3 linked regions of the Stegostoma tigrinum genome follow. The protein of the gene in region 3 binds, or shares a complex with, the protein of the main gene of each other region. Links are inferred from orthologs where the notes say so. Each region holds a gene or a part of one and is shown on either strand. Other genes may lie near its edges. The genes, in order: nrp1a, semaphorin-6A-like and plexin-A2-like.

The links.
Region 1: the proteins of plexin-A2-like (region 3) and nrp1a are in contact, whole or in part, in a crystal structure (PDB 4GZA), measured with the Mus musculus proteins. The link is inferred for Stegostoma tigrinum from reciprocal best matches to the Homo sapiens genes PLXNA2 and NRP1. Residues at the interface, in NP_032908.2 of Mus musculus: Asp273, Leu274, Phe275, Glu306, Lys341, Gly342, Gln343, Lys344, Gln345, His348, Pro350; in NP_032763.2 of Mus musculus: Glu78, Arg80, Asp81, Lys83, Tyr84, Asp126, Tyr127, Glu128, Thr129.
Region 2: the proteins of plexin-A2-like (region 3) and semaphorin-6A-like are in contact, whole or in part, in a crystal structure (PDB 3AL8), measured with the Mus musculus proteins. The link is inferred for Stegostoma tigrinum from reciprocal best matches to the Homo sapiens genes PLXNA2 and SEMA6A. Residues at the interface, in NP_032908.2 of Mus musculus: Ala93, Cys94, Tyr95, Pro96, Lys155, Gln192, Asp193, Tyr194, Asp220, Phe221, Val222, Pro229, Ser230, Asp231, Leu386, Lys389, Val391, Thr394, Lys395, Ala396, Pro397, Val398, Leu407, Asp408, Ile409, Asn410, Gln411; in NP_061214.2 of Mus musculus: Arg108, Met109, Lys110, Gly111, Met162, Ala163, Thr188, Phe190, Leu191, Ile193, Tyr198, Thr206, Arg208, His212, Asp213, Ser214, Glu219, Gln266, Arg267, Glu270, Lys271, Lys393.

What each region holds. Positions count from the first base shown.
Region 1 is NC_081355.1:129,161,120-129,171,974, reverse strand, and holds the start of nrp1a (neuropilin-1a), read left to right. Parts: upstream 1-5,774; 5' UTR 5,775-6,836; coding exon 6,837-6,906; intron 6,907-10,174; coding exon 10,175-10,349; intron 10,350-10,855. UniProt on the Homo sapiens protein: Cell-surface receptor involved in the development of the cardiovascular system, in angiogenesis, in the formation of certain neuronal circuits and in organogenesis outside the nervous system. Mediates the chemorepulsant activity of semaphorins.
Region 2 is NC_081356.1:76,489,945-76,501,188, reverse strand, and holds the start of semaphorin-6A-like, read right to left. Parts: upstream 4,294-11,244; 5' UTR 4,276-4,293; intron 4,221-4,275; exon of another isoform or gene 4,126-4,220; intron 2,966-4,125; exon of another isoform or gene 2,434-2,965; intron 1,756-2,433; exon of another isoform or gene 1,671-1,755; intron 1,451-1,670; exon of another isoform or gene 1,366-1,450; intron 160-1,365; exon of another isoform or gene 71-159; intron 61-70; exon of another isoform or gene 1-60. UniProt on the Homo sapiens protein: Cell surface receptor for PLXNA2 that plays an important role in cell-cell signaling. Required for normal granule cell migration in the developing cerebellum.
Region 3 is NC_081374.1:20,435,123-20,445,268, reverse strand, and holds the start of plexin-A2-like, read left to right. Parts: upstream 1-5,327; 5' UTR 5,328-5,537; intron 5,538-10,146. UniProt on the Homo sapiens protein: Coreceptor for SEMA3A and SEMA6A. Necessary for signaling by SEMA6A and class 3 semaphorins and subsequent remodeling of the cytoskeleton. Plays a role in axon guidance, invasive growth and cell migration.

The sequences.
Region 1 (10,855 bases), on a different chromosome or scaffold from region 3:
TTGGCAAGAGTTGCTGTAGCTTAAAATAGGCCTATATTTCATTGCAAAGAACACTTACAATTCCAGATTGTACTTCAATCCAACATTCCACAATATTGTTAGTAATAAACTTACATGCTCTTATCTCGCCTTTGATCTCCATCCACAGAAAAATAAATGTGGAGTAAATCATTAATTTCTTGAATAAGTTGTCGAAATGTACTATGACACACCTACACCATTAGACTATGGCACGCCTATGATTTGCCTATGAGACCCGAACATAATTTTTTAAACAGTTTCCATGAACATGGTCAATTTTCTTGCAAGTTCTTAAGGTACCAGTGTACTGCTGGTATAATTTATAATTCATATAATGGTAATCCTCATTACAGTAAATGCTCAATAAAATCAGTGCCTGTTTATTGCTATATTGTGGGTAAAGAAGGAACAATGCTGTGATATACTAACTTGTACATCTCGGGAGAAAAGCTTTAGACAGTAATGTTCAATGGTCATTTCAAATCACCGATTAACTAAACTAACTAGAGTAAATGTAAGGACAATCAAAATTAATTTTATAGACTTAAAGTGTAATTTGACATTATTATTTCAATTTAAATGATAATAGCTGATGCTGCCTTCTAAATGTGAAGACAGGGAGAGTCATGAATGGAGATGTTATAGAAGGGTCAAAAATATATTGACAGCTCATTGGCTTCCTATTGAATGCTAAATAATTAGCAGAATTTTCATGTGGCATTTCCTTTGAAATTGACAAGAAAGGCAAATTAAATTTGTCACTATCTCTGGCGACATGGCAACCTTCACCAGTTACCACTTCCTTTAGGCAAGGACAGAAATTCCATTTTGTTTCGTTGACAGCTATGTTACTTATCAACCTTAGGAGCTTGTTCCAAATCCTGAACATCAAGTATTAACAAGCAAGTTGCATTCAGATCTACTTGCTCTCACCATGCAACCGGCACATAAAAAAATATAATTTTCACATAGAAGAAGTGTTAGTACATTAGCTAGTTTTTCAGTAAAGCAACATTCCCACATGGTGTGTAGATGTCATATTTTGAGATATTTCATCTATTTTGAAAAATTTTGAGTTTTTTAATGTTAACAATCACTGCATGGTTAAAAATTGGTGGTTTGCTTTTAGTACTCATGTGTTAACAGGTAATGGAAAGTGGAAGTACACTTAGAAATTTATTTATCTGTTAGAGGTTGGATATGCTGCAGCATATGATGTAGCTCCTGACTCCTCAAAGCCTCTGTACTGTCTATAAGGTGAAAGCTGAAAACGCGAAGGAATAGACTCCAATCGCCTGCATAGGTCATTCAGTCTGCTTAATTAACATCCCACCCACAGGCTTAAAAATCTACTGCCTTTACAGTGGCTGCATTATTACTCTTACTCCTTCGTTTTCTGCCATCTGGAAGATCAAGCGCAGTAGGTGCTAGGAACAACATCACCTACACATCATACACCCTGGTGATATGTTGGCATCCTTTAATTATCACTGGGATAAAATCCTGGGAATCCTGCAGTGTTTCAAGAAGAAGGTTCATCACTGTCTTCTCAAGGCGTGGGCATTAAATGGCAGCTTTGCCAGCAAAGACCACAGCAAATAACAAAGACTTCCCTCTTGAAGATCCTGACATGTGAAGACAGGTTTTATTTGCCTTGTTTACATCCTCAAAGCTCAGTCAAGAACTCATTCGTAGAGTCATGGAATTATGCAGCACAGAACAGGCTCTTTGGCCCGTTGGGTCTGCACCACCAAAAAGACACTACTACCTACACTAGTCTCGCTTACAAATGTAAAACCCATACCCTTGAATGTTATGCCAGATCAAGTGTTCATTCAAATACTTTTTAAAGATTGTGAGGTTTTCCACCTCAAAGAGCCTGCCGGCAGTGTATTCCAGATTCTCACCACCCTCTGGGTGAGATAGATTTTCCTCAAATCCGCTCTTGAAACCTCCTGCCTTGCACATTAAAATGAAGCTCTTGTCATTGATCCTTCGACTAAGGAGAACATCTGCTGTCTAGTCCCCTGACCATGCCCCCATAACCCTATAGTTCTCTAACAGGTTCCCCATCAATATCTTTTGTTCCAAAAAAAGCAATCCAGCCTTTCTCCAAAGCTGAATTGTTCCATCCTAGTGTATCTACTTCACTACTCCAGCTACGGCCTGGCTAAAGTCCTATACAGTGATAATGGGAACTGCAGATGCTGGAGAATCCAAGATAATAAAATGTGAGGCTGGATGAACACAGCAGGCCAAGCAGCATCTCAGGAGCACAAAAGCTGACGTTTCGGGCCTAGACCCTTCATCAGAGAGGGGGATGGGGAGAGGGTTCTGGAATAAATAGGGAAAGAGGGGGAGGCGGACCGAAGATGGAGAGAAAAGAAGACAGGTAGAGAGGACAGTATAGGTGGGGAGGTAGGGAGGGGATAGGTCAGTCCAGGGAAGACGGACAGGTCAAGGAGGTGGGATGAGGTTAGTAGGTAGGAAATGGAGGTGCGGCTTGGGGTGGGAGGAAGGGATGGGTGAGAGGAAGAACAAGTTAGGGAGGCAGAGACAGGCTAGACTGATTTTGGGGTGCAGTGGGTGGAGGGGACGAGCTGGGCTGGTTGTGTGGTGCAGTGGGGGGATGGGACGAATTGGGCTGGTTTTGGGATGCGGTGGGGGAAGGGGAGATTTTGAAGCTGGTGAAGTCCACATTGATACCATTGGGCTGCAGGGTTCCCTAGCGGAATATGAGTTGCTGTTCCTGCAACCTTCGGGTGGCATCATTGTGGCACTGCAAGAGGCCCATGATGGACACGTCATCTAAAGAATGGGAGGGGGAGTGGAAATGGTTCGTGACTGGGAGGTGCAGTTGTTTATTGCGAACTGAGCGGAGGTGTTCTGCAAAGCGGTCCCCAAGCCTCCGCTTGGTTTCCCCAATGTAGAGGAAGCCACACCGGGTACAATGGATACAGTATACCACATGGGCAGATGTGCAGGTGAACCTCTGCTTAATGTGTAAAGTCATCTTGGGGCCTGGGATAGGGGTGAGGGAGGAGGTGTGGGGGCAAGTGTAGCATTTCCTGCGGTTGCAGGGGAAGGTGCCGGGTGTGGTGGGGTTGGAGGACAGTGTGGAGCGAACAAGGGAGTCACGGAGAGAGTGGTCTCTCCGGAAATATACAACTGCACCTCCCAGTCGCGAACCATTTCCACACGCCCTCCCATTCTCTAGATGACATGTCCATCATGGGCCTCCTGCAGTGCCACAATGATGCTACCCAAAGGTTGCACCGAACAGCAACTCATATTCTGCTTGGGAACCCTGCAGCCCAATGGTATCAATGTGGACTTCACCAGCTTCAAAATCTCCCCTTCCCCCACCGCATTCCAAAACCAGCCCGCTCGTCCCCTCCCCCCACTGCACCACACAACCAGCCCAGCTCTTCCCCTCCACCCACTGCATCCCAAAACCAGTCCAGCCTGTCTCTGCCTCCCTCACCTGTTCTTCCTCTCACCCATCCCTTCCTCCCACCCCAAGTCGCACCTCCATCTCCTACCTACTAACCTCATCCCACCTCCTTCACCTGTCCGTCTTCCCTGGACTGACCTATCCCCTCACTACCTACCCATCTATACTCTCCTCTCCACCTATCTTCTTTTCTCTCCATCTTCGGTCCGCCTCCCCCTCTCTCCCTATTTATTCCAGAACCCTCACCCCATCCCCCTCTCTGATGAAGGGTCGAGGCCTGAAACGTCAGCTTTTGTGCTCCTGAGATGCTGCTGGGCCTGCTGTGTTCATCCAGCCTCACATTTTATTATCTTAAAGTCCTATACGGCTCCTACATAACCTCCCTGCTCTGTTATCATCTTACATTTTCACCAATTCCTATGCTGGGATGTGGACGCTACAGTGCTTGATTAGGTATTAGGTTGCTCGTCATGTGATGTTACCGCTGTGCTCCCATCTCCTGTCCTCAGCTGCCCTGTGGTGTGTAGCTGTATCATCCACAAGATGGATGTATAGCCGAGGTAGGACCTCAGCAAGTATACGCTTTCCAGCAAGCATAGGTAGAGAGTGACCAAAGCGGGAGGCTCTGACTGATCTTGTCCTGCCAACGATAGAGATATCGAGGCCGAATGTACCCACTTCCTTCTGCTGCTACCTTAACTGGGAACAGTAAGCTCAGCTTTCGACTATGCAGGAATCTTTGTTTTCTCGGTGTGACACGGTCCGAACCACTTCGGCAAACAGTCACCCATCCCAAACCCTGGGAGCAGCTCGAGGAACTGTATTCCAACAAGATTCCGCCATGTCCAAATGTCTGACATAATAATTTGCCCGTTTCCATAGCAGTATGATCGGCAAGAGTGCTAGGGAAGATCTGGGAGAAAATGCCGGAGGCATTTGTGTGGTTTTAAATAAAAAGATGTGAAAAAATATGCGTTTTGGACATTTGATGACAAGAAATGATTGACAAGGTGTGAAATTAACAAATGTCCACTAAATATGGCCCGAGGCAATGACAACTTTCTGCGCTGAGAATGAACAGTTCGCCAATCAAGGATGGTCAATGGCATTTGTAGCGCACTTTTCCCACCTTCAGACAACATACATCCAAACATGGTTCATGGAAGACAGTCTGACAATGAGCACGACTGAGAGGGACCACCATAATGACTGTGAGCCACATGCGTGCCTGAGACGCCCATGATTCAGATTATCTGGCGCTGAAGCCGTGCGCCTCCTGTTGGCCGGTACGGAAAGTTCTGCCGCGTTTGGGAGATGGTTCCCTTATCCCCACATCAACAAGCTCGGATATGTGGGCGCGGCATCTGGCCAGGTTCGCATGTTGGGGAATGTGAAATCGTTTGAAATTATTTTACAGCCACATTTTATTGTTGTCGACAAAATTGCTCCTCAGGTAGGTATGTAAGCCCGGAGTTTCACGAAGAGGGATGGGACTGCCACTTGTTGCTGCAGCCGGTTCGCCTTCCCAGCTGGGTGAATGAAGTTTTGTTTTTAGAAATGTCTGTTCTTTTCGCCCCATCCCTTCAGCTGGAAGAGTTTCGTCTCCCTGAGTCCGGGCAGGTAAAACAGTTCCGTCCGAACCAATGACAGGCTGCCAGCCAGAGCAAATGCTTCAGAGATTTTGCTCCAAACAAATTCAGTTTCAGTGTATACGGTAAAATTGTTATGCGCATCAAATGAGGGCGTTTCTGAAGCGTGCACACAGCATTTGCACTGGAATTCTGTGTTTGAATGTGCACAGAATTAGTGAAAAATTTGCATAGGAATTTTGTGTTTGAATGTGCACAGAATTAGTGTAAAAAGTTTGCACAAGAATTCTGTGTTTGAGTGTGCACAGCTTAGTGTGAAAATTTTGCACAGGAATTCTGTGAATGTGCAGTGTTAGTGTGAAGTTTGCACAGGAATTCAGTGTTTGAGTGTGCAGAGTATTAGTGTGAAGTTTGCACAGTGATTCAGTGCTTGAGTGTGTAGAGTATTAGTGTGAGAAGTTTGCACAGGAATTCAGTGTTTGAGTGTGCAGAGTATCAGTGAGAAGTTTGCACAGTGATTCAGTGCTTGAGTGTGCAGAGTATTAGTGTGAGAAGTTTGCACACTATTATTGTGTGCGTGTGAAGCGTGTTTGCTGATGGTGTGTATATGGTGTTCACGAGACACATAATACAATAACGTTTTGTTTTTTACAGCTGCATATAACAGGGAATTGCAAGTCATGCAGTCAAATCATTTGGCAGACCTCCCTCCGTAGACTGCCTTAAGAAAAACAGCCCGAGTCTGCCGACCTTTTCAGTGTAGTGTATTTCTCCCTGAAAGTGTTGATCACCTGGAGCAGTTGCGCGGCGCTGAGCAAGCGTGTGTTTGTTTGTGTCTGTGGAGAGGAGTCCGCAGGCGCTTCGCCCTTTACTCATTGACCAAATCATTAGTATTTTTGAAAAAGAGTTTGTTCGCCTGCCGGAGCATGGGCGTTCCTTTCTCTCTCTGTTTGCTGGCTGGCCTGTCACAGAAATGCCGCTGAAGGAACCGTAGCGTCTGACTTCTATTTCGCAATTGAGTTGGGCCAGGAGAGGCGCTTTGAGTTTTCAGTGACTTGGCGTGGCTTGGAGCTGATCTCCCAGCTCTCCGTGTCTTTCTGTATCTCTCTCCCACCCTGTATCCCTTTGTAGATCTGCTGTATTATACTGACAGCCAATCTTCCTCTCCCTTTGTGAATACATTAATAGAGGTGTCTCAGGCGGTGGACTGTGAGACTGTGGGGAAGGAGTGTGGACAAGTCTGGCTGGTCTTATTTCTCCCTTTAGCGGTGCTAAGTACCCAGTCTTGCATCATTTATAATTAGATAAGCATGTGAACGCTTCTTTTTCCTGCCTCGAACTAGTTTCAGATCTTTGTGGATTTGACATTTTTAATTGTTTTAAGAATATTTCCTAGACAGTTTTTATTTCTGTCTCCCAGCTGGCTGCTTCTCCTATCTGCTCAGCAGTGAGGAGTCTCCCTCTGTGTGTGTGTGTGTGTGTGTGTTAGGGAAGGAAGGGGGGGGGGGTTGTCTGTGCAAAGCTTTTATTGGCTCGGGATTTTTTTAGGAAATGGCAACGCCAGACATTGCAACAGGAACCGTGTATCCGCAAGCGGCGAGAGGAAGCTAAAGGATGAGGTTGCAGATCGCCCAGATTCTCCCAAAGTAACCAATTCAACTCAAGTGCGCCCTTCGTTGTTGTTATCGCTTCTCGGCTTTCCTCCCTCTCTCTCTCTCTCTCCCTGTCGCTGTGTGTGCGCGCTGTTTTCGTTCGCAATCTCCAGTTGCCAAATGGGGAAGCATCAACTCTCCCTCTACCTACTGGCCGTGGCCATCGGTGTGTCCGGGGCGGTCCGAAACGGTGAGTATTAACGGCGCCGCTTTTTCCCTGTCGTTTCGGCCCCCTGAGCCCCGATACCACAACCACTAAAGGGAGGACAGACCAGCAAATGGGTAGGGTCTCTGTCCACTCGGCAGGGCGCACGCAGTATAGCGTACACTGCGAGGATCTGGAGGGGCTCGCTTCTCCTCGTTTCGTTTTACAACAGGCTGCTGAAGTCTCCCCACACAGGGAGAGGGGGCGGCGGGGGGACTGTGTGGAGGCAAGTGGCATTTTGCAGGTTTATCCGGAGACGCCAGAACCTGAAGGTACCCTCAGCCTGGCGACGCTGCCCAGTCGAAGGCAGGAGCCTGGACTAGGGGCAAAGAATGACTTTCTGAGACCTGTTGTGACTTTCTCAGACACTGCCCCTTCCCAGGGAGAGCGACGCGGACAGTGAGCACGCCGTCAGTGTCCTCTCCCTCATCCCGAGTTAAGAGGGGAGCTCACTGAGATCTTTCGGTCTGCTTTCCCCAGCGCCTGGCACACTGGGCTCCCGTCCATGTGACTCCCTCCCCAGGAGCACGCCTCACGCTGCCACCAGTTGCCGGGAAAGCGGTTTCTTTTCGGGCAGGGCCCAGGCGAGCGATGGCCAAACGAAAACCAGAACAACGTGTAACAAAACAAAAGCAAAACCTCCAGAAAAGTGTTGGAGACGACTGACTGCTGTGTGCTGCACTGAGCTGCAAAAGGGGGTGAACATTTCATTTCTGGCTCCCTGCGTTCCTCCAGCACTTCCTGTTCTGAGACTCGGCATGTTAAGGCTATTTTTAAGACGAGATAAACGCGAACTCTCCCTGCAGTGATCAGGAGAGGTTAGGATTTGAGCACTAATGTTTGTCCAGAAAATAAGAATGAGCTTTTGGGGGAATTTCTGGAGCTGCTTTGTGTATGTGTGTGTCGCTGAATAAAGCTGTGAGGGGTCAGATCTTATATCCAGCTCTTACACTCCGGCGCCTCTTCAGCTTGAATCTTGGCTGAACTGACAGCCGTGAGCTAGATGAGGAAGACACCCCGGCTCCTTCTTATCTGCACAGACACGCTGAACCAGGTCACGAAGCGGTTCTTTCACACACACACACACACACACACAGCCTGCTGGCCGCAGCAATAAACGAGCAAAGCGGATCTCCCCGTCCCCCTCCCGGCGCTTCCCCAGCCGCTTTGCGCCTCCTTCCCGCTCTCTCCCGCAGCCCGGCGTAGCCCGGCCACAAGCCTCAGTCCTTTCTCAGTCAAACGGGAGGGGGTCAGTGTGGAGATGGGAGGGAGCAGGACAGGTAGCCAGCTACAGCGGGCTGGAGTTGAAGTGATGCCACGACATGACTAACCCGGTGTTGTTCAGAACAAACTTTGACTGCGGAATGTTTAGCGCCGTGCACGGGATGTTGCGAATGTTAAAACCACAGTCTTTCGGTCCCTTTTCCAAGTGGGAGAACTCTCCAAACAGAACGCTGACCAATCTGTGCACTGTTCCTCCATGCCGGAGGAATTTCATGTCCACTTCTCCCGGGCCAGCTCTCTGTTCCTTTAGTGAATCCCCTCTACACCCACCTTGAGATTGAAGACGAGTGAGAAGAGGGTGGAATCTCCCATTGTCCGACTCCCACCAATCGATGTGTATGTGTGGGCTGTGTTTGTGTGTGGGTGAGTGTGTCACCATGTGTGAGCGTGGTGTGTATATGTTTATGTAGGTGTGTGTATGTATGGCTGTAGGTTGGGTTTGTGTCTGTCCGCGTCTGTGTGCCTATATGTGTGTGTGTGTCTGTGTGCGCATGTGTATATATCTGTGGATGTGTATGGGTATGTGTGTGTCTATCAGTCTGTGTGGGTCTGTGTTTATGTGTATGTATGTCAGTGTGGGTGTGTGTATGTGTGCATGTGTGTATCTATCTGTGTATGGGTATGTGTGTGTCTATCAATGTCTATCAGTGGGTCTGTGTTTATGTGCATGTGTCTGTGTTTCTGTGTGTGTATGTCAGTGTGGGTGTGTGTCTATCTGTGTGGGTGTGTGTATGTGTGCATGTGTGTATCTATCTGTGGATGTGTATGGGTATGTGTGTGTCTATCAGTGTGTGGGTCTGTGTTTATGTGCATGTGTCTGTGTTTCTGTGTATGTATGTCAGTGTGGGTGTGTGTCTATCTGTGTGGGTGTGTGTATCTATCTGTGGATGTGTATGGGTATGTGTGTATCTGTGTGTGGGTCTGTGTTTATGTGCATGTGTCTGTGTTTCTGTGTGTGTATCTGTGTGGGTGTGTGTCTATCTGTGTGGGTGTGTGTCTGTGTGCATGTGTGTATCTATCTGTGGATGTGTATGGGTATGTGTGTGTCTGTCAGTGTGTGGGGGTCTGTGTTTATGTGCATGTGTCTGTGTATGTCTGTGTGGGTGTGTGTCTATCTGTGTGGGTGTGTGCGTGTGTATGGAAGAGTTGGTGGTCAATTCGGGCCGGCACTGGGGAAAGCCGGGGCTAGCTACAATCTAAAACATTTTCTTTCTCGGGATTCTTCAGAGATCTAAACCCTCCAAGCACCTTGAAGTCGAGGAAGAAAACCTCGTTTTGTGAAGGTCCAGGTCTTTCACCTGGTTCTGGATGAAATAAAATGTTAAAACAAAATAAACAACTTTCCATGCTCAGAATCCGTTCTGACTGTGAGCTGCCGCCTTCAGTAAATCAGGATTCTCCGTGGTACTGATAGCCTCCTGCTCACAGGGATGGGTCATTGCCCGTGGAAAACACACACCTCGCGCCTGAATTACAGGGAAATGTGCGGAGTTTCAAAATCTGCCAGATATTTTACAAAACAGGGCAGCATTCTGCTCAAGTCTTTTTAAGAAACAAGGCAAGATATAGTCCGAGTATTTTATGAAAACAGAGAGTTGGAACACAGAAACAGACCCATCAGTCCATCTCTTCCGCGCCGACTAGTTATCCTAAACTGATCTGGTCCCATTTGGATCAATATTCTGGCAAAGCGTGTTATAAACCAGGGCAGGATTCTGACCAAGTATTTTGTAAAACAAGGCAAAGAGTCAGTCTAAGTATTTTATGAAAACAGATAAAGATTCTGTCAAAGCAATTTATACAACTGGGCAAGATTCTTTCCAAGTATTTTACAGAATCCGGTGAGTTTAGAGAACTGCTAATTCTGCGCGGAAGAAAACGTGAATCCTTATTAGCGAGTCCGAGATATGAAGGGAGGCTGGAGATTCCGTCGGTTTGGTTTCTATAAATGTGCTGTTATCTCATGTAGATCGGTGTGGGGAAACTATACAGATCACCAGTCCTGACTACCTGAACTCTCCTGGATATCCCAATTCCTACTACCCCCGGGAAAGCTGTGCCTGGGTGATCCGAGCACCCGAAGTTTCCCAACGGATAATGATCAATTTCAACCCTCACTTTGATCTGGAGGACCGGGACTGCAAGTGAGTCAAACCAGATTGGGTCGTATTTAGATATAGTGACCTCTAGTGGTTACAAAATATTTACTGGAACTTGCTGAGACCGAGCGTCGACCCTATTTGCTTATCTGCGCAGTGTAGACCAGGCTAATGTCCTTCTCTATATCAAAAATGCACGCATCACAACTAACACACCGGCTCCCACATGTCAGACGCTTCACGGTTTCCCTGTACTGGGCTATTTTCTGCTAGTTTCTGTTAAACCTCAGGATTGTTCATCATTCCAGTTACTCTTAGAAATGGATGTAACGCACGTGGTTAGGCAAAAGAAGTGTTTTGCTGGGAAGGCAACAGGAGTGTGCATTATGTCATTGGAATTGGTTTATTTGTGATTCAGCCAGTACATGATTTTGGGAAAGACTCCCACCACTATTGATCATTACAAGTTTTACACACAGACCAGTTTCTGCATAATGTGAAGAGAACTACTGTTTTCACTTTGTTAGATGCAAGTTGGATGTTTAGCTACT
Region 2 (11,244 bases), on a different chromosome or scaffold from region 3:
ATTCCTCTCCATAGTAACGTGATAGCTCAAAATGGTACAATGCACGAATCGCAGTATCAAAGAGTCCCACCTTGTATCGTCGTCTCGACTGAGATTTGAACTCAGCCGGCCTCAGCGTTAGCGCCAATTCTTGGTCAGGCCACCAGATGGAGCACTGAACAAAAAGAGGGCCAAAGAGGGAAAACTGGAAGGACCAGCAAGCCCCATCCCTTTGGCACAACATGGGTAGGGGAATAGAATGCTGATCGCACCTCCCACGATCACACAACCCTTTTCTGAAAGGGCAGTCATGATTCCTGCACCAGCATTGAGACAAGAACATAAGGGTGTGGAACTTATACATAAACACACCCTCATGTATACAAACACCAACATCCTCAGACATGGACGAGGCTCTGCTTAACAAAATGAGCCAGTCTGTCACTCAGTCGTGGCCTATGGGAAAGCCACTGAGCAGTTTGCTCAAAAAGCTGGGTTAACACTTCTAAGTGCCAGACACATCCATATGGAATATCTGTTTCCGGCATAAGGTTGTAATGAGAAAACACAGCATCTGCTGATGAATAATCATGAAATCATGACTGGCTTCTTCAAATACTCAATGCTGATTGGAGAGCCCATCATTTTACTCTACATGTGTCATTTGATAAATAAAATGTTTCTGCTGCCTAAACGAACCAGCAGCAGTTTAGCAAACGAGAGTCAAGTCTCCTCACCCAAAGTTCAACACAGAGGCAAAGATAAAAGGAAAAAGGCCCCTGAAACACTGAAGCTTCTTTAATTTAAAAACAATGAAAAAGGTCCAGATTGCTGCCAGAAAGGCTGTGAACATGTGGCCCAACTGTATTTCGAGCCATTCCCAAGACACCAAAACACTATCTGAGGCTTTGAAACTATGGAAACTGAATAAATAAAGTAGCTTCCATGATTAATAGATGAAGATCCCTAGCTGAGCCAGAACTCAAGACTGTAGAATCCACACGTACACAGACCCAATTTTGACAGGGCACATTCTTCCACTCTGATTTTGTTTTGTGGTTGGTCATTGTTGACTACCAGATTCACTTAACCTTCCCCTGCACATAATGATACTCAAATATCAGAATATGCACCAACTCAGGTCAGCTTAATTCTGACGCTGGCTGTGCGAAGGCTGTCTCTGGAGATAACTTCCACTGCAGTCAAGGTATCCTACCCGCCGCACGCTTCAGATTATTTTATCAACATGCGGATCAAGTATTTCTTGAAACAGGTTTGTTTACCTCCTCCCCACCCCGCCGCCCCCGCCAACACTTCACAACAGACAGTGGAAGCCAAAAGGAACGTCCCCTCCGCAGCCCCTCCCCATTAAAATTTGCTCGGTACCTGTGATGTTATTCCACACAGTATTTTGGATGCAAAAGCAGCTGTTGGGCACTAACCCCTGGCCTGACCCCATGCTCCGCGCTTCAGATCCACCCCCAGCTCAGAGAAAGACTGCCCGACACTTGACGTGCACAGCTAGTCGCACACATTGCAATAGCAACTGAACGACCAAACTTTCACTCGCTCTCTTTCCCCGTCCGCTCACACAAGGGACCCTCCTGTTTCCGGGCATTTAATATCTCCAACTAAGCTACTGTCAGACCAGACCAAAAAAAATACAACACGTGGAGAATTTGCAAACTTACGCTCTCGTTTGTTTTTAAATACTCAAAGAAGTTCCTCTCCCCTTCATACATATAATGTAGCAATGCTACATCCCCGCGTCCACTCCCAGAGAACGGAGCGAAGCCAGCGGTCCACACACTGTACAAATCTGGACGCTTGCTTCGAAATCCTGGATCCTCACCTACTCCGCCTGTCCAAGCCCTTTTGTAAACACAATCGGGCTCCTAACTAGTATTATCAAGTCTTGGCAAATAGGAAAATATATTCGTACGCTCCGGCGTTCAAAAATACTGTCTTTTAATAATCACTGTTCAAAAGAAACAAAACGAGGTCGCGAGAATTTTGAAGGCAAGTTTAGCAATTGACAAGTAGCCAACCATTAGATTTTGCTTTTTTAAAAAAAAAGCATAGTGCTTTGTGCACGATCGTTAAGTACCAGATAGAAAATTGATTTATTCTAGGAGGAAATAATATTAAGACTGGACTCAGCATTTAACAAGAACAAACATAAATCCAAAGGCGATATTTAACACCAGTAGACAGTTAGCACCAATTCTCTGGAGCCTACTGTCAGGGGCTGAGGATCAGAATCTCAACAGAGCTATCAGCCCCAGCGACAATATACACGCGGCTCCCCGTGGGTATGATCACTGGTGAGAGGGGAACAATTAGTTGAACAAATCTCATGGTAAGGCACACACAAAATAACAAAGAACCGGTGCTCGCAACATACAGAAACAAAAAGAGGCTAGTATCTCTGGAAGGAACAGTACAGCACTCTACCTTCTAGGTTTGGGGAGTCGAACCAGCGGCACTGCTGCCTCATTAGTAATCCATTTAAGGCTGGCTCTGGCCAATGTGATCCACACACACAGTGCCTGTCAGGCGCTCTGAGGATGCAGATGCCTTGTCTTGACAAGGGGGGAACAGTATCACGGTTGTTCGCCCCAACCAGACCGACAGCATGGGGAACTTCTGCTGCTCCAAAACAAAAATAACAGATCCCCCTCCAAACCCCCCCCGGAAATCCACTCGGGAAAGCTTCGTCAATTTCGACCCGATTACCAAAGCGGGCGGACTTAGGTCAAGTCGCAGCCGCTCTCTTCTCCGGGCTGTTGGGGAAGGTTATAAGTCTCCAGTTCCTCGTCCGGTATCCTGTCACAGCAGGCGAACACGGGCTTGGACACACACGCTCCGAATCATCTTAATTGGAGCTGTGGAGGGCAGGCAGGCTGTGTGCTGAGCGGCTGCCCCACTCCTTCCCCCTCATCCTTGCCTTCCAACTCCAGCTGTCACTGGCTATCCGATTTGGAAGGAGACGGCACTCAAATCCAGGACTGGATTCCTTCCTATGGACCGGATCGGGACGTTCGCACACGGCAACCAGTCCGCCAGTCGCAGCCCAGACCGGGTTCTAGATCCTCTGAAACATTTATGGAGGCGTTTGGAGAATGAAATGCTCACTTCCCGGGAAGTGATTAAACAGATCCCTTGAAAGTCCATTGACACTTTGGAAAATGACTCCCTGCCTAGGCTTACTTTGAGGCAACCCATTTTGAAACAGTTAGGTTGGCGGAGATGTCACCTATTAATGTTTGTAAACAATACAAGGTACATGTCTCTTCTTAAATAGCAGAACAAAACGTTACATTTTGGTCGACTCAAAAACAAACTCTCGCTCACAGCGACAGAAGAAACCTTTCTATTCTAAGTTCCACTCTTGCCCCTCTTTCCATTTGATTTGCATATTTTGCGCTACCTGAGCTTTTTTTTTGAATTTTCCGAATTAAAACATTTTACTTGCATCCAGCTACTCCTCTAAATAAAAATCTGCAAAAAAGAACTTTTTAAAAATCCCGTTCAAATGCTGGAAATTCGACATAAAAACAAAACGCTGCAGGGAGAAAAACAACAAACTGTAAATAGAAATCATGTCACTAACTTGTTTCTGCCTGTTTTTTTTGTTTTAATTGGCAGTTTGGATGTAGACGCTTTATCAGGCATCAACAAGCATTTCAAAAAGGGTTGAAATAGGAGAGGGGGTTGGGGATAATTAGCAGAGGCAATAAGTGATTGAAAGACCACCGATATGAAATGACCTGCGAACTGCTTCATAAAAAAACGTACAAATAGAGAAAGATGGAAAGACGACGAAGTCTGAAGAAGTAGAGAAGCGCGCAAAAAAAACTCGAATTCCAGATCCGAAGTTACATTATTTTGTTCAATAAAGCACATTTATAGAGAGGAAAGGATTGTTTCATTTTAACTACACCACAGTTTTCGCCTTCTTCCGGTCGCTGCAAACCAATTATTCTGGCGAACTACCTTTGAAATTGCTGCAGGTCCCTCACCCGGTTTTCCGGGGTAACTGGGCCAAATTAATGGCTGCAGAACTACTGCGAATAAAGTACAATAAGATAGCGCAGTGGTAAGTGTCCCTACTTTAAAATCAGGAGGTCTAGGTTCAAGTCTTACCTATTCCAAGTATGTAATAAGAAATTGACCTGGGGAAAATAACAGACACGTCCGGCAGTATCCGTGGTGGTCTAATTGGAGCTGGATCCTTGTTGTCAGGCGATATTTAATTTGGGGCCAGTTTAAAAATTCAAATAAACCTGCACATACCAAACAACGCAATAGCGGCTTTCTTCCACCACAAAAATCCATACTTTCAATGTCTCAACCACGACCCTTTTGTGCTTTGAGCATGAATGAAACATTCATTCCACGTGTACAATAAATAATACGTATTTACATGTAAGATATCATTCAATTATGCACGTGGGTCGTTACTTAACCCAGAATGCATACGATGTATATCAGTATTTGCTGCCAAAACAAAACCCCTCCACAAATCAGAACCTCAATAACCCCGACTGTTGCTGTTAATGATTTTTTTCCATTGTAAGGGTGGCAATAATGACTCAGTGGTTAACATTGCTGCTTCACAGTGTTTGCACTTTCTCCCCGTGTTTGCCAGGGTTTCCGCCGGGTCCTCCCACTGTCCAAAGATGTGCAGATTAAGCGGGTTTGGCAGGGTAAAAATGTCCCGTAGTATCCAGGGATGTGCAGTTTGGGTGGATTAGTCATGGTAAATGTGGAGCTACAGGGATGTGCGCTATCGGTTCCGGATGGGATGCTCTTTTCTAGGTTCAGTGCATGTCGAACGTCCTCCTTCTGCACTGTATGATTCTAAACTGTAGGCAAATTCCCAAGGAGGAAATCGGTTAGTTCCACGCTTAGTGCAAGGTTGACACTGAAGGGAAAATAAAACTGAATGGCGCAGTCAGAAGGAAGGGGGAATGGATGTCTGAGAGTCAGGGAATATAACGATGGTAAAAAAAATCAGAGAAGAGGTAGAACTTTTGGTACTGCAGACAGATGCTAGCCTAGATATTTAAGCAAGTTAAAATGGAGTGTGGCTTAAACATTAACCTTGGATCCAGAAAAAGGAATGTTATAAGAGGAGACAGAACAGGTTGGTTAACTGGACAAGATGGTTGGATACCTTGAGTTTTGCCCAAGGGTCACTGGACTGGAAACAATAACTTTGTTTTCTCTTTCCAAGTTGCAGCCTGAGTTTCTGAGACCTGCTGAGTTTCTCCAGCAACTTCTGGCTTTGATTCAAATCTCCAGCACCTGCAATTCTCTGTTTGATTTTGGACATTTGCAGTCACTCTTGAATTAGAGGACGATATCACGGTTCCTACTGAGCATCTACACCTAACTGAACAGGCTCATTTTTGAGCTAAAAATCTTTGGACACACAGGGCAGAATTGGGCTTAGTGGATTTGTTTTGCTTCATGAATGAAAGGCTGGGACTGAAAGCATGACACAGCTTTATGAAACACTTGCTGCTACCCAGAAACACGTTTGTCCCAATACGCACAATAACCTTTATGCAGAATGACTGTGTGCAGATTATTAATGAGGGATTCCTTGGTTTACAGCCATTGCCAATCCTCCAACACCATAGGACTTGGGAAATGGGCCCTTTAGTAGCCTGTGCATTGCTTTTTTTTAACAGGGAGACCTTGTCAACTGCTGATCAGATTCCAGAGACGTATTAAACTACAACAGGTCCCAATTGGCCCCTACAGTCTTTGCACTTGATGTAACACTGTCTTCCTTGCCTGTTTTGCCATTGAAGACTTTTTGGGGATTGCAATATGTCTGCCTTCCCAAACCACCACCACCACACCCCATCCCTGAACCTGCTGCAGTGAGTGCTCCTACCATAACCAAGGAGGTCAGATGAAATCATTTGAGAGACGCTCACAGTGTACAAGTCTCTTCATTACGTTAAGATAGAATACCCAGAAAAGCTTGTATGTCATGAGTGACTATTGCATTCATTATATATTTTCTTAAGTTGATTGAAAATCTGAATGACGCACTTTGATTTTACTTTTCACAACTTAATAATTTCACCCATGTTGTAAAACAGGACTGCATAAGACTGAGCTAGAAAGTTAAAATCTATAACTTTCTATTCAAGCATGCCAATGTACTCATTAAAAAAAGTTGCTGGTTTTATATCTTCAGCATTTGTCTTTCTGTTTCAAATTTTCATGTCCTTCCATTTATTTACCTTCAGCATATGAAATACTGTTGAATAAACCTATACTTTAAGTTTTAAAGCCAATATAAAGTATTTACTTCTGTATTGTCAACTCTAGTTTCATTGGTAACACGCTTTTTAATGAATCATACGATTCCGGGTTCATGTTCCATACCAAGGTTTAAGTCAAAAATCAAGGCTGACAGTTCAGTGTACAACTTTTCAAGGTGATGCCTCTTGGATAAGAACACAGCCCCTGTGTGCTCTCTGGGATGGGCGTAAGATATCATGTGATACTACCTTAGAAAGAGTTGGAGGCTTGTCTCTAATTTCCCATTTAGTCCTTCACTCAACGTCACAAAAACATACTATCCATCCATTGACACATTGCAGCTTGTGGGGAGGCTGCTTTGTGCAAATTGGCTGCTATGTTGGCCTCTGTACTGCAACAGTGCTTCATTGGCTATAAAGAAGTTTAAGACATCAGATGGTTGTGAAAAAGGCTATAATTGCAAATATTTCTTTCATGATTCATTATCAGACTTGTTAAATTGTTAGCTTTTAGTGGAAGGTGAGCTAGTACTTTGAAGCTATTGAGCAGTTTTCTAGATTGACATATCTGCGAATTATGTGGAACAAATACTGGCTTAAAACTGGTGATGGACTAAGATTTTGTGGACTCAGCCTTTATTTAATTTTGATCACTTCAGCTGATCTGATTTCACTGTACTAAATCTGTGATTTTATCACACGGTGCTGTTATTATAGCTACATTCCCTCCAATATTCTCTCTTTCATTTCTGAGGTCTGTGATGGTATAGTCAACAAGAACAGAAGTTGCTGGAGAAACTCAGCAGGTCTGGCAGCAATTATGCAGAGAAAGCAGAGTTAATGTCCAGTCGTCACTGGACACAAGGCGTTAACTCTGTTTTTGCCCCACAGATGCTGCCAGAATGATGAGTTTCTCCAGCAATTTCTGGTTTTGATTCAGATTTCCAGCATCTGCACGTGCTCTGTTTTAGTTTAGTGGTATAGTCAATCTTGGGTGGATCTCTACAGTTTCCACAACTAAGTGTTCAAACATAGCTGAGTTTTCACTAAAATCTGAGTAACTGCAAATTAGTGCCCATCATTCTTACTCTGTTAAATCAGGTTCTTTGAGTTCAAATGCTGTGTCAGTTCATTAGGAGCTGCACTCAAGAGTATGCCTAATTAGTTGTTAATAAACAGAATTTAATAATATAATAATGAGAATGGTTCTAACACAATGGCCCCCAAGAAGGTGAACTGTAAAAATGACTGTGGAAAAGTAGCATTAATGTGTGACCATGGAGGATGAGAAACATCTTGGATAACAAAGTGTGGAGCTGGATGAACACAGCAGGCCGAGCAGCACCTTAGGAGCACAAAAGGAGCTTTTGTGCTCCTAAGATGCCGCTTGGCCTGCTGTGTTCATTCAGCTCCACACTTTGTTATCTTGGATTCTCCAGCATCTGCAGTTCCCATTATCTCTGAGAAATATCTTGCTTGGCCAATCAGATATGGAAAACCCAGCTAATTAGTCTCCCACCCTAAATATGTTGCTGTAATTGCAGTGTTCCTAGTGCTAGTTAGGCTAACGCAATAAACATCAGGAATTAATTTGGACAAAATGATATGAATTGAACCCAATTAATGTCTTCAGAATAATGAGAAATTTGGAATGTCCTAGTTATGGTAAAAGAATCAATCCACTCACTAGTGATTGACTATTTTGCCAAGATAAAATTGAAGCAGGGAAACTCCCAATCCAGATGGAAAGCTTACCGTCAGATGAGGTAATAAGGGAGAAAAAAGGGGGATTTGATTAGCACTGTCATCCCTGCTTCCCCAGTATGATTGCATTTGTTCAAAATAGATCTGGCATTAACTCACTGGTGAGGTAGGTATTGCTTGCACTGCCATCCATTTGAGTGCATAAATGAGCTTGAACATATTGCATTATGAAGGTCAGATTATAAGTGATGTCAGATCAGGTTAGTCAAGAAATCAAAGTATAATCATAACACTTTATGCAGTGTTAACATTAATATCATTTAACAATGGCAATGGTTGGAGATTTTGAAAATATGTCATTCTTAGAAAATTGTACAGTCTTTAGTAAGGATTGTATTGTTATTGTGTCACTGATGGTTCAGCAAATAGAATTCAAATGATGAAGTCTGACTAAATAATTTATAGTTTAATGTGAAATCCATAAAATTCTGCCAATGATTATTTTTGTTTAAAATAATAAGCAGTGTATAGATTTTACAATGTACAAAATAAAGGAATCTTAGAGAACTTTTCATGGGGAAAGTGTTATGGTAGTGCTAAAAATACACAATGAATTTTCAACTTCTGTCATCTGATTTTTAATACTTTCATGGACTAAAATGGCTTTAAAAAAGATACATGTGACTGAAGATGACTGCAGTGATCACCTGATAACAGTTGGCGACAGTTCATGATAACAGCAATAAAGTATAGCCGTCTGAACTGAAATGAATATGTTATCAAAAAGACTGAAACCAGTGCCCCAGATCTGTATCTACAGTTTGATCTACACCTTGCTAGAAATATCGTATTGGAATGAAAGATTTACCTGCAGATTACCAGCTTTAAAAAATCAATGAATGCACCATGGAAAATTTTATTCCCCTTATGCCGCAGTTACTTCTTTTGCCAATCACCCGAAATTGTTGCCCTCTGGCTCTCAATCCCTCAATAAGCAGATGTGGATCAGCTATTTCCTTTGGTCAAGAATCCAGAACAAGGATCCACAATTAAAATAGCATTGGGCCAGTAAAATGCAGTATCAACAAACACATTTTCACACAAAGTGCAATAATAATGTGGAGTGCTCTGTCCACCAAGCCTGTGGCCACAGAGTCAATTTAAATATCCAAGATTTATAACTTGATTATTTCTGGGCAATGGTACTATGGAGCAATGGAGTTGAGGCATATATCTAGTTCATATTTATATGTATATTTAACTGATTGAGTTCAGCTGTTGAGCATATTCAAGGGGCTGAATAAACTGATCTTGTTCCTATGTTTCTATCAGTAACCAGCGCTATTTATGTTTGCCATTGGGACTGCCCTGATTTTGGCAGCTTGAGGAAAACTTGAACTGGTCTTTTGTTGCCAGAAGCTGGTTCTACTTCTTTTATATTGCACCATGAAATGGTAAATCCACAAATTGTGTTATAAATGCACAAATCAGACTTTCAAGCATGGTACTAAATGTGAGTGCGCAGCAGATTCCTTGAAAAAATGTTTTGAAACATTAAATCTAATGTGTCTCTTTTATCCTAAATGCATATTACTCTTACATTTGATTGATGTTTCTCCCCTGACAAATACAAATCACAACATTTTACAATAGCTGCTTTCAACGCTGCTTAAATTTAGGAAAAAAACCATTTAATTTGAAAAACTCTGCAATATATATAAAAGAATGCTTTGTATTTCCCTAGCGCTTCAGCCCTTTGAGGAATGCAGCCAAAATCCAGCCTTTAACAATGGGACATTTTTTTTGGGATCCTGCACTGATGGCTCAATTGGTTAGTTATTGGGCTCTAACATTCCAATTTTCATGATCTGCTGCCAGAAGTATCGTAGAGAAAGGAGGACTTAATGCGTGGTAAATGTTTCTGCCACTGACCCTGGAAATGGCCCACCACAAGGTCAGCTTATTAGTGACTGGATCAAAATCCAGTGCCCAAGCAATGAACACTGTGCCTAAGATGTTCAGAAAATATGTGAATAAGGAAGCCTTTATGGGGGTGGAGCTTCAGCATATGAAGCAGTTTTGTAAACTCAAATTAGTGCATTGTAAAATAAAGGCTTTGTTCCAACATGAACAAGTCAAGAATATCCTCTTAACTGAAAATTAATACAGGGTGGAAGTTGGAGATGCAATGTTGGGTCTGAGTGCTCAGAGTTTCTAGTTCCATATGAAAGAAGTGGCAAAATGAGTAGCAACCTCTTGATGACTAGAATGAAGTTTAATGACCCTGCAAGGTCAGTAAAGATAAGTGTAATGGCTACAAGCTGTGATTAATGTATGGATGTTTCAGACAGTACATTTGTATTTATCCTGAAAGCACGGTCACTAATCTGGGGGTATGCCCCTTAGCATTAAGCACTTTGTGTGTACCATATCTTACAATGCATACATGTTTTTTGAGACCTGTGGGAAATTTTTTTGGGGATATGTCATCAGAATTCTCAGATTGTTGTCAAATTCAGTTGGATGTAAATGACAGAAACAAGATGCTTCGATGCAGTGACAACGCACACAATTTTCAAGACTGAAAGGTCATTGGAAGAAGCTGGAGATGTGCAGTAGTTTCTGCTGATTAACTGATAATAATTAAAGATCAGAAAGTTTCTGTTTTTTGCAAGTCATACTTTGAGAGCCCCCTTGCATCTATCAGGAACAAACAAGAGGAAGATAAATGTTGGTAATACAGCAGAACCGAATCTAGATGCTGCAATTGCTCTCTAAGGATGTGTGGCAAGTTTCAGGAAGGATGGTAGAGTCCAATGTCAGTATGGCGCAGTATCTGAGAGAGATAAACTTCAGTAGAAAAGAAAATTAAGGCCAGCTGTTTAACGATTTCCAAGGAATATCAAAATTGCATCCTTATGTTAAGGCTAGTACAGGAATAATGACTTGATACCAGAGGGTATCACCATTCACAAAATTAGACACCAGTAAAGCAATCAGCATTCCTAAATGCAGTTAAATGGGGTCAGTGTAGCTTGGTGTTTGTTGGTTGGTATAAACAATGTAGGACGAAGGGCCATCGAATCCAGGAGACTATTGATGGGATGGCAAGTATTTATTTTTGAAAGTTTCAGTTTTACTGCTGCAACTGTTATGTCACACTGGTGGTGTTGTGGGGTTGAGATGGAGGGAGCAGTAGAAATGGTACTGAAATGGTTATGTGGCTCTTCAGCGTCTCCAGGTCTGAGGGTGTGAGCTCAAATCCCATCATGTCAGC
Region 3 (10,146 bases):
CAAGGCTAAATTATCGCTTGAATATCCAGTCATTATAAAGCCTTCGGGACTGAATTGGAATGGAAAGACTGGAAGTGCATGTCGATAGGTGAAGAATTGATGTATTTTCAAAGGGTTAGTAATTAAAGCAATGATACTACTTTCATTCCATGTTTAGGTCTGAGCCTTGTTTGTGAAGATAATTGCCCTCTCCATTTTTGCTCATCATTATTGGATGCTGACTAGAATGCTTCAGTGATTGACAAATGCTCTAAGTGTTTGATAATGTTAAATATGCTGCATTATTCAACTAAAAAAAATCAGATTTATATAAGATCCTGCTTAATAATATTAAAATATCCCATAGTGCATCCATGGAGTATCAATCAAAATTTGATACTGCACCATTCAATGGATGAATGTTAGGTATAACATGATGCCCATACATTGTTCACAGGAAGATTAAAAGTTCAATCGTTTCTGTGTCATGAGATACCTGTTCCTTGTTAAGTGGAACTAGAGGCTCTGTAACTAATTTTATGCAAGATATTGAAAAGATAACAAGTCGTACTCCACTTGATGACTGTGTTAGGACATCGGGTGAGACAGGATTGGCCTCAGTTCAAGTATATTAAACAGTGTTACATGCTACAAAAAGTAACTGAGGTCACACATCAAGAACGGTTAATCAGGTGAGATATCAATCAGTTACCAGGAAGTTTGGTATTATACTCCAAAATTAATCTGAACAAATTTGCATTAAGTGGAGAAAATATGTGCTTCAAAGGAAATTAAATACTGATTTCAGCATATTTCTGTTACTCAGCCTAATTTTGTATAATTTTTAGTTGATGTGTATCCATGCATAGCCAGATGCATTGCATGATAGTTTAACTATATCCATCCAAAGTTATTGCATATGCTAGTTTTGTATTGTACAAAGTTAGATACAGTGTCATGCAACATAATTTATCATTGGCAATAGGCTCTATATTAACCTCTATGTATCTTTTCAGTTTCCATAACCTGAGATGCTTTAGAGATCATAAATATCTGTGTTAGTCTGTAGTTTACTCTTCGTACTGCAGAGTTTTGCTTTTGTCTTTTACAGATGTCTGGCCAGGGGTGTCTCTCATTCTTACAACTTGCAACTGGCATATGTTGGAAAGATTTACAAGGTGAAACTCAACCTGTTTGACTACATCAGAACACATCTTCCTTGGCCATCAAATACTTGGAATGGGATTTGAACCTGCAGCTTCTATTTCAGAGGCAGAGACACAAGCCACTGTGGCAAAATACACCTCCTCTCCCATGTATCTACATATCTTATAACATATATTCTGGTTTTTCATTTTTAAATTGGAGATCATAGAATCCCTAAAATGTGGAAACAGGCCCTTTGGCCCAACAACCCCACAATGACCCTCAAAGCATCCCACCCAGACCCATCTCCCTATAACCCACCTAATCTACACATCCCTGAACACTAGGGGCAATTTTCCATGGTGAAACCACCTAGCCTGCACACTTTTGGACTGTAGGAGGAAACTGTAGCACCCAGGGGAAACCCACACAGGCATGGGGACAATATGCAAACTCCACACAGACAGTCACCTGAGGGTGGAATTGGGTCCCTAGTGCTGTGAGGCAGCAGTGCTAACAACTGAGCCACCATGCCTCCCCAAATCTATAATATCAAAAGGTATAGTAACAAGAGAAGGCCATTTGGCCCTTTGAGCCTCCTCCATGATTCAGTAGGATCATGACTGATCCAATATTCCTCACATCAACTTTCCTGCCCTTTCCTTGTAAACCTTGATTCCTCTACTCATCAAGAATGTATCTCTTTTGGTTTTTCTTTCAGTTTTTATTAAGAATGTATCTCAGCCTAGATTGTGACTCCAGACCTACAGCAATGGTTAACAGCCCTCTGGCCAATTAAGGATGGACAATAAATGCTGGCCTAGCCAGCGATGCCCCAAACCAATGAATTAATAAAAATACCTCAAATATTCATAAGGATCTGCCCCCACAGCTCTCTGTGGCAAGGAATTCCAAAGACTCACAACCTACTGAGAGAAGAAATTTGTCCTCAACTCAGTCTGAAATTGGCACCCCTTTATTCTGAGACTATGCCCTCTGGTCCTCGTCTCTTCCATGAGGGGAAACATTCTCTTAGTATTTACCCTGTCAAACTCCTTAAGAATCCTATATCTTTCAACGAGACCTCCTCTTGTTCTTCCAAACTCCAGTGAATAGAGTCCTAAACTGTATCTTCGTTTTTTTCTCAGAAGGTAATTCCCCCATACTAGGGATCATCCAAATGAAATTTCTCTAAATTCCTCCAATGAAATGATACATTTCCTTAAATAAGGTGACCGAAGCTGCTCACAGTGCCTCCAATGTGGTCTTTTTAACATCTTGCACAGTTGCAGTAAAATGAGTATCAGCAACTTCAATAGTATGCATTGATGGTACAAATTGCAATAAACAACAAACGAGTATTCATAACTATCAGAAATAATGGGAACTGCAGATGCTGGAGAATCTAAGATAACAAAGTGCGAAGCTGGATGAACACAGCAGGCCAAACAGCATCTCAGGAGCACAAAAGCTGACGTTTTGGGCCTAGACCCCTCATCAGAAAGGGTCTAGGCCTGAAACGTCAGCTTTTGTGCTCCTGAGATGCTGCTTGGCTTGCTGTGTTCATCCAGCTTCACACTTTGTTAAACTAGTATTCATGTTGCTCCTGTTCTGTCTCATGCATAATACTCACTGATTAACTTTCCATGAAGTGCATTCATCATTTCAGGCATATGTTTCACCAAATGTGTGTAGCTTGGTCTCATCAGCAGAAAATGAGCTGAATAATCTTTTTTTGTGATTTTCGTTAAGGAACAGAGAAGGGTGTGAATTTTTTATGATGCTTAGCAGATCTCTGAGTTTCTCTCAATTGATTCTTGGAATGTGGATGATGCTGGCAAGGTTGTGTTTATTGGGCACTCTTGAAAATGTATGCCCTCTTTTTCAAATTGCTGTACTGGAATCTTTCACATCAACCTGCCCAGAAAGAGGGGTTCACGGTTTATTAAGACAATCAGAAAATGTTGGAAGTGCTCAATAGGTGTCAGCATGCATGGAGAGTGCAACAGAGTTAACGTTCCACATTTTGGCACATCTGAAGCCAAAGGAAATAAGGTTGTCAAAGTCCTACCAGACCACAGGGCTGCTGTCTCATTACAGAGTGACAACTGGTGGCTGTTTAACCTGTGGTCACCGTACCTCGGGGAAGGGGAGAAGCTGAGGAAGGCAGTCCTCCATCATAACATGTGGGAATGGTGTGAGAATTGAAACTTCACTGTTGGCAACTCTCCACATCACAGACCAAATGACCAGCCAACTGAGGTAACCAACTCCTTTAAAACAGGGATAATGGGAACTGCAGATGCTGGAGAATCCAAGATAATAAAGTGTGAAGCTGGATGAACACAGCAGGCCAAGCAGAATCTCAGGAGCACAAAAGCTGACGTTTCGGGCCTAGACCCTTCATCAGAGAGGGGATGGGGTGTGGGTTCTGGAATAAATAGGGAGAGAGGGGGAGGCGGACCGAAGATGGAGAGAAAAGAAGATAGGTTGAGAGGAGTGTATAGGTGGGGAGGGGATAGGTCAGTCCAGGGAAGACGGACAGGTCAAGGAGGTGGGATGAGGTTAGTAGGTAGGAAATGGAGGTGCAGCTTGGGGTGGGAGGAAGGGATGGCTGAGAGGAAGAACAGGTTAGGGAGGCAGAGACAGGTTGGACTGGTTTTGGGAAGCAGTGGGTGGAGGGGAAGAGCTGGGCTGGTTGTGTGGTGCAGTGGGGGGATGGGACGAACTGGGCTGGTTTAGGGGTGCGGTGGGGGAAGGGGAGATTTTGAAGCTGGTGAAGTCCACATTGATACCGGGGTTCCCAAACGGAATATGAGTTGCTGTTCCTGCAAACTTCGGGTGGCATCGTTGTGGCACTGCAGGAGGCCCATGACGGACATGTCATCTAAAGAATGGGAGGGGGAGTTGAAATGGTTTGCGACTGGGAGGTGCAGTTGTTTATTGTGAACCGAGCCCCCAAGACGACTTTCCATATTAAGCAGAGGTTCACCTGCACATCTGCCAATGTGGTATACTGTATCCATTGTCCCCGGTGTGGCTTCCTCTACATTGGGGAAACCAAGCGGAGGCTTGGGGACCGCTTTGCAGAACACCTCCGCTCGGTTCGCAGTAAACAACTGCACCTCCCAGTCGCGAACCATTTCAACTCCCCCTTCCATTCCTCAGACGACATGCCCATCATGGGCTTCCTGCAGTGCCACAATGATGCCACCTGAAGGTTGCAGGAACAGCAACTCATGTTGGGAACCCTGCAGCCGAATGGTATCAATGTGCACTTCACCAGCGTCAAAATTTCCCCTTCCCCCACTGCATCCCAAAACCAGCCCAGTTCGTCCCCTCCCTCCACTGCACCACACAACCAGCCCAGCTTTTCCTCTCCATCCACTGTATCCCAAAACCAGTCCAGCCTGTCTCTGCCTCCCTAACCTGTTCTTCCTCTCACCCATCCCTTCCTCCCACCCCAAGCCGCACCTCCATCTCCTACCTACTAACCTCATCCCACCTCCTTGACCTGTCTGTCTACCCTGGACTGACCTATCCCCTCCCTACCTCCCCACCTATATTCTCCTCTCCACCTATCTTCTTTTTTCTCCATCTTTGGTCCGCCTTCCCCTCTCTCCCTATTTATTCCAGAACCCTCACCCCATCCCCTCTCTGATGACAGGTCTAGGCCCGAAACGTCAGCTTTTGTGCTCCTGAGATGCTGCTTGGCCTGCTGTGTTCATCCAGCTTCACACTTTATTATCCTTTAAAACAAGGTTGACCTCGCCGATAAGCACTGACATTTTAAAAACCGAAAGAGCTGTGAATGCTGGAAAACAGAAACTGCTTGAAAACCTCAGCAGATCTGGCAGCATCTGTGGAGAGAAACTGGAGTTAAAATTTCCGGTCCAGTTAACCTTGCTCAGAACAAATGCATTATGCCACCAGTGGAGTTCCTCTTGGTAACCTTGTGAATTTTGAGGAATAACTATGAGTAGTTTATCTAATAGTAAAAAAACCTTTCTGCAAATTCATGCATTCAAAGACTTCATGGCGATTGACTGACTGTCCTGCTGTGGTAACAGTGGGATAGTCGTGAAAGTGATGGCGGGGTATGCTAATGAGTACGTAAAATGCTAATAAACGTAATAGGCTAATGAGTGCGTGGTATGCTAATTGTGCGTATGCTAATATGCGCTATGCTAATGAACTAGCGGCAGAGCTGTGCCTGCGCTGGGACCAGGAGAGAGAGAGAGAGAGAAAAGGACGGAGCTGCTCTGAAGAACTACATTTAAAAGAGGAAGCTGAACGTAGTCTGTTCAGGTCTGAAAGCCGGGAACGCGCTCAGAGGAAAGTGCAGCCAGCCAGAAGCGGAGCATTGGAACTGCCAGCCAGAAAAGAAGAATTGGTAAAAGAAACCACAGGCAGTGAGTGGAATGTTTTCAATGATTAATGTAGAGAGAGCGAGAGGGCAGAACGGAGTAGACAGAAAAAAAATGCACTGAGCATTTTTCTTTTGAAACCAAGTATGAGTGGGACATTTCTGGTCGGAGTGCAGCGACAGGCAAACAGGGGTATGGGGTGACTGGTGGGAAAGGGAGGCGGCAGGTTCTGGGGGAAGAAGTTGCAGCCCACAGTTAACTGGCAGAAAGGGAGGGATGAAGGAGTCCTGTTTGCAGGGAGAGCTGAGATACAGAGAAGGAGGCAGATGGTCCCGGGATCCAGAAACACGGGCACAGAGAACCCAGAGCCTCAACAAAATCCCAAACTGTTCGCTCGCTCGCCCTGGAGAGCCTGGCATCAGGAGCGCTGTAAAGAAGCGAGTGAGTGAGTGTCTGTCGGCTGGTCAGCGATTGAGTTCCTGATCGGTTTGCTCCATATACTGCACTGTAAACAGAGGATGGGACCGAGAAAGGCAAGTGACTGATGGATGGGGAGATTACAGAAAAGCAGATGGGAGGCTCCAACTAGGATGAAATTGCAATAAATCTGTCAATTCATTCCTAATAGTTTTTCAACCAGGGCGAATTAGGCGTTTTGAAATGTGTCAGTAGCTTGTGCGGACCAAATCACTTTCTAATAACTCCTTTATTTATTACTCCTGTATTATCTCTGCTTGACATTTTTGACTACAGTTGGGAACCATGCATTTGTGGCTTTCGAAAGAAATTGTTTCGGTGAAGTATAATCCTCGGGGAGATTCTGAATGCACCCTGGGTGAATGTAATTGGACTGTGGTTTTACATGGATCTGTGGGGAAGGTAAAGGTGTTTCGAGTCAGATTCGGTTCAGAGAGTAACAAGGCGAAATAGTCATGTGTGAGGAAACGTTCTGTCAGTAACAAGGTTTGAGTAAGGAGAGAGCAAGAAAGATGTTTTTTTTAAATATATAGGGGAAATCTATATGAATAAAACATAATGCGGAGTCTATACATGTTGAAGTTCTTGTGCAGTGCATTTACTTATTCTTTAATGGTGTGTAGCAAACAGTGTGGTACAGTTCCCTGGACATCGGGGATGTTGGATCAATGCATAGCAGTAACAGATGCCTTTTTTCTGTTACTTTCCTCTACTGATGGATATAGCCAAAAGGGATCTGTTTAATTACATTGTAATATGCTACAGCTATGGAGCAGATTCAGAAAGAGAACAGAATACACTGTGATAGGAAAATGCCCCAAAGCAGTATTTCTTCTTGCAAATGACCTGAATTACAATCTACCTCCAAAAGCAGTTTTAAAACTTATTTCAGGCGATATTTTACAGACTTTTTATTTTAGCTTATACTTTTTTTTGTTTAACTGGCATTCATTCTTGGGCGTCTCTTTAGGGGTCAGGTCGCTTTGCCGAGAAAGAAATTGTTCGCAGCAGGGGGAAGTGGAGGACAATTGTACTGCTCAAATGTGCCTCCTGGTGGCTCAGGAATCATCACTGACCATGTCTACAGATGTGCTTATAAACAGGAGCTGGAAGGTGAAAGGAATAATGACAGAAGGGAAGCTAGAGAAATAATGCTCTTTCTTTCAAACAAAGAGCAAAACAAAGGTTGTGAATAAAGTCTTGTCTTAACAGGACAACTGGCAAGTTTTTAACACGATTATCAGATACTGTTGGTATTGTTTTCAGGCAGTGGAGCTTATAGTTTATACATGGGCACATATTTGAACATATCTAGAAGTATAGTCATCTGTTTTTTGGCACACTTCTGGCATCCTGGAATCTTCTGCATGAAGGACCCAGAAAACTAAGTTTGAAAAGCAGAGGCAGTCTGAAAAAAGTGAAAGGGAAAAGTGGTGGAGGGTGGGGGGAGCGGAAGACGTTCCCCATCCCACCACTACCACCACCAAAATCTCACGACCAAACCACCATTCGTGAAGGATTACCTTAAAGAATACTTCGCTGCTATACTGAAGTCTTGTTTTTTAGTTTAGTCTAGTTTCATGTAACAGAAAAGTGAGCAGAAAATTTATTATCCTTACCTGTAATTGTATTAACATGTTCCACACGTCTGGATTTTATATATAACAAAGATGAACGATCGGTGGTCCAAGTTCTGTGTTCTTCCAATACCTGCCTTCGTATTGGGTGATAGGAGACTTGCTTCCAGAAGCATTACTGAATTTGCAATTTCCCCTTGCCTGTAGCTCTCCAAACTGTTTTGCAGTGATCTGTGCTGCAGTACAGAGTTAGATTCAGCGTTCCATGGTTGAACTGTTCAGAACAGTCAGTAAACTTGAATGGCTAAATGGATGAGAATTGCTCTTGGAGATGTATGAACAGCCTTCCATGATTACAGTCAGTTATTTAGCATTGTGATGTGCCTTTAAACATTTGTACAATGAATGCCGCTGTGAAGTCTAAGATTAACAATTGTCTTCTCAAGTGATTGTATTAGCTCATTTTTTTCAAATCAGTCTAATATTGGCAAAGTAAATATTTGCAGTCACTTGCTATACCATTTCAATTTGTGAAGATGTTAATTTGCAAAGCTGTAAAGACAGCAAGCCTATAAATCCAGCTAAAAGACTAGTAGGTACAAATTATTTTCCACCATCACCACCAACTCCCATCCAATTATTTCCCCTTGCCTTCAGAAGGAACTTCACACTTCTATATTATCACCATAGGTGCTACCTTATCCTTTTGCATTTTACATGCAAGGTCATGCTTTATTTGAGTATTGGTAGAAAGTGCCGGAATTGTTGATTGTAGGGCACGCTTAGCCAGTTCTTGAATGTGTTTGTGTTCAAAATTCCTAATGTACTTTTTTTTTGGCAAGGATTGCAGCACAGTGACCATTAGGAAAAGCCTTGGCTGATTTACATTCTCCATTGCAAATGTAAAGTGTCAGGGCCAATTGTAGTGACCTGCTGCAATAATACCGGCAACCTCCATTAACACAGCACCTTTAGTGAAATAAAACATCTCGACGCACTTCGCAGGAGTATTATAGAACAAAGTGTGGCGATGAGCCAAGTATGAAGACATTAGGTCAGGTAGGTTTTGAGAAGTGAACTTGTATACAGAAAGAGAGGAACAGAAAGTGGAAGGAACTGTTGCTCCAAAAGAGATCAAAAAAATAGGATCCAACCCTAGGATTGTGAGATTCTTTAGTGCATAAGGCAGAGAACTTAAACCTGTTGAGCAATTGGGGGAGCTCTTGGACCAAACCTTTTCCCACTCCAGATCAAATATAAGATGCAGAAACTCATAGCGACCATTATTCTTCAAGTAATGTTGGGAGTGAGAAAGCTTTCTCTGATCCTGTTAAGCAAACTCTGCTTAAGAATCTGGTTATGTTTCTGATATTTATGTTTAAAAAAGAAGTGCATGTTTTACAAGCAAAAAAGAACATTCAGTTTTCAGCACTATAATTCATACCATCCAGTCATTTTGAAAAGGAAGGTTCATGCATGTCATGAGCTATAAGGTCTGAGTTTGGATTTGGCCTTGAATGAGGGCCTGGCTGGCAAGATTATGATTTTTTGACATTTATGCCCGAGCTTCCATGATGATTTTGCAGCCATGTGCAGATCACTGGGTAATGCACTGACTGGAAGACAGGAAAGAAAATATGATGCAGGTTTCACTTGGATTGAATTTGGTGACATTTATGGGAGGACGTTGAGATTCTTTGACTGCCAGCTTTGCAATGACAGTTACTACACTTGCAGTCCCCTCCGAAGCTTTCTCCATTTAGTCCCATTGTATACTAACAAATGGAAGGACAGTAACAATAGAGGAAAATGCAACAAGTTTTGAGGGCCCAACTAAACCAATTAATATTACAAGAATACGTTTTGAATGACAACTTTGAAGGTTTTTGGAATCAGCTCTTGCAGTTATTAAATTGAGAAGTCCTGTGGGAGTTGCAGGTGACAGTGGCCTCTTTATATTGACTTCTCCAGTTCTCCTGTTGAAGAATGTGAAAATCTTGCCAGCATCAGTACCTTTCCTCACTTGATGATTTTGAAAGGCTTTAATAATTTATTTTGAAAATGTAAGTAAATAGTATTCTACTTATTATTTTTGATATTTTGGATGAAATTAATATAGCTTTGAGTATCATTAAGTCTTGATTTAAAGCAGAAAAAAATATGTTTTTTGAGCAAAAGGGTTTCTAGAGGAAGCAATTATTTTGGAATTCCTCTCTAAATATTCCTACTTTAAACTAAGACTCTAGCAGTTTGCTACCTATAAAAAGATGAATTTCTTGGTAATGAATCTTCCTTTTGTATTCCAATACTTCTAAATTTTTAGTGAAAGTGTGTGAAGTCCTTGGTAACACATGCTTATTAAGTGTGAGAACATTTTTACATATGCACATTGAACAATTACTCTTTGCAATAAATAGCATGGTTTTGTGTGGGGGAGGTCGTGCCTCACTAACTTGATTTTTTGAGGAGGAAATGAAGATACAGTTAAAGGAAAAGCAATTGATGTCTACGTGGATTTCATTAAAGCCTTTGACAAGGTCCCTTGTGGCAGACTGGTACAAAAGGTGAGGTCACATAATATCGGGGTGAGCTGGCATGAT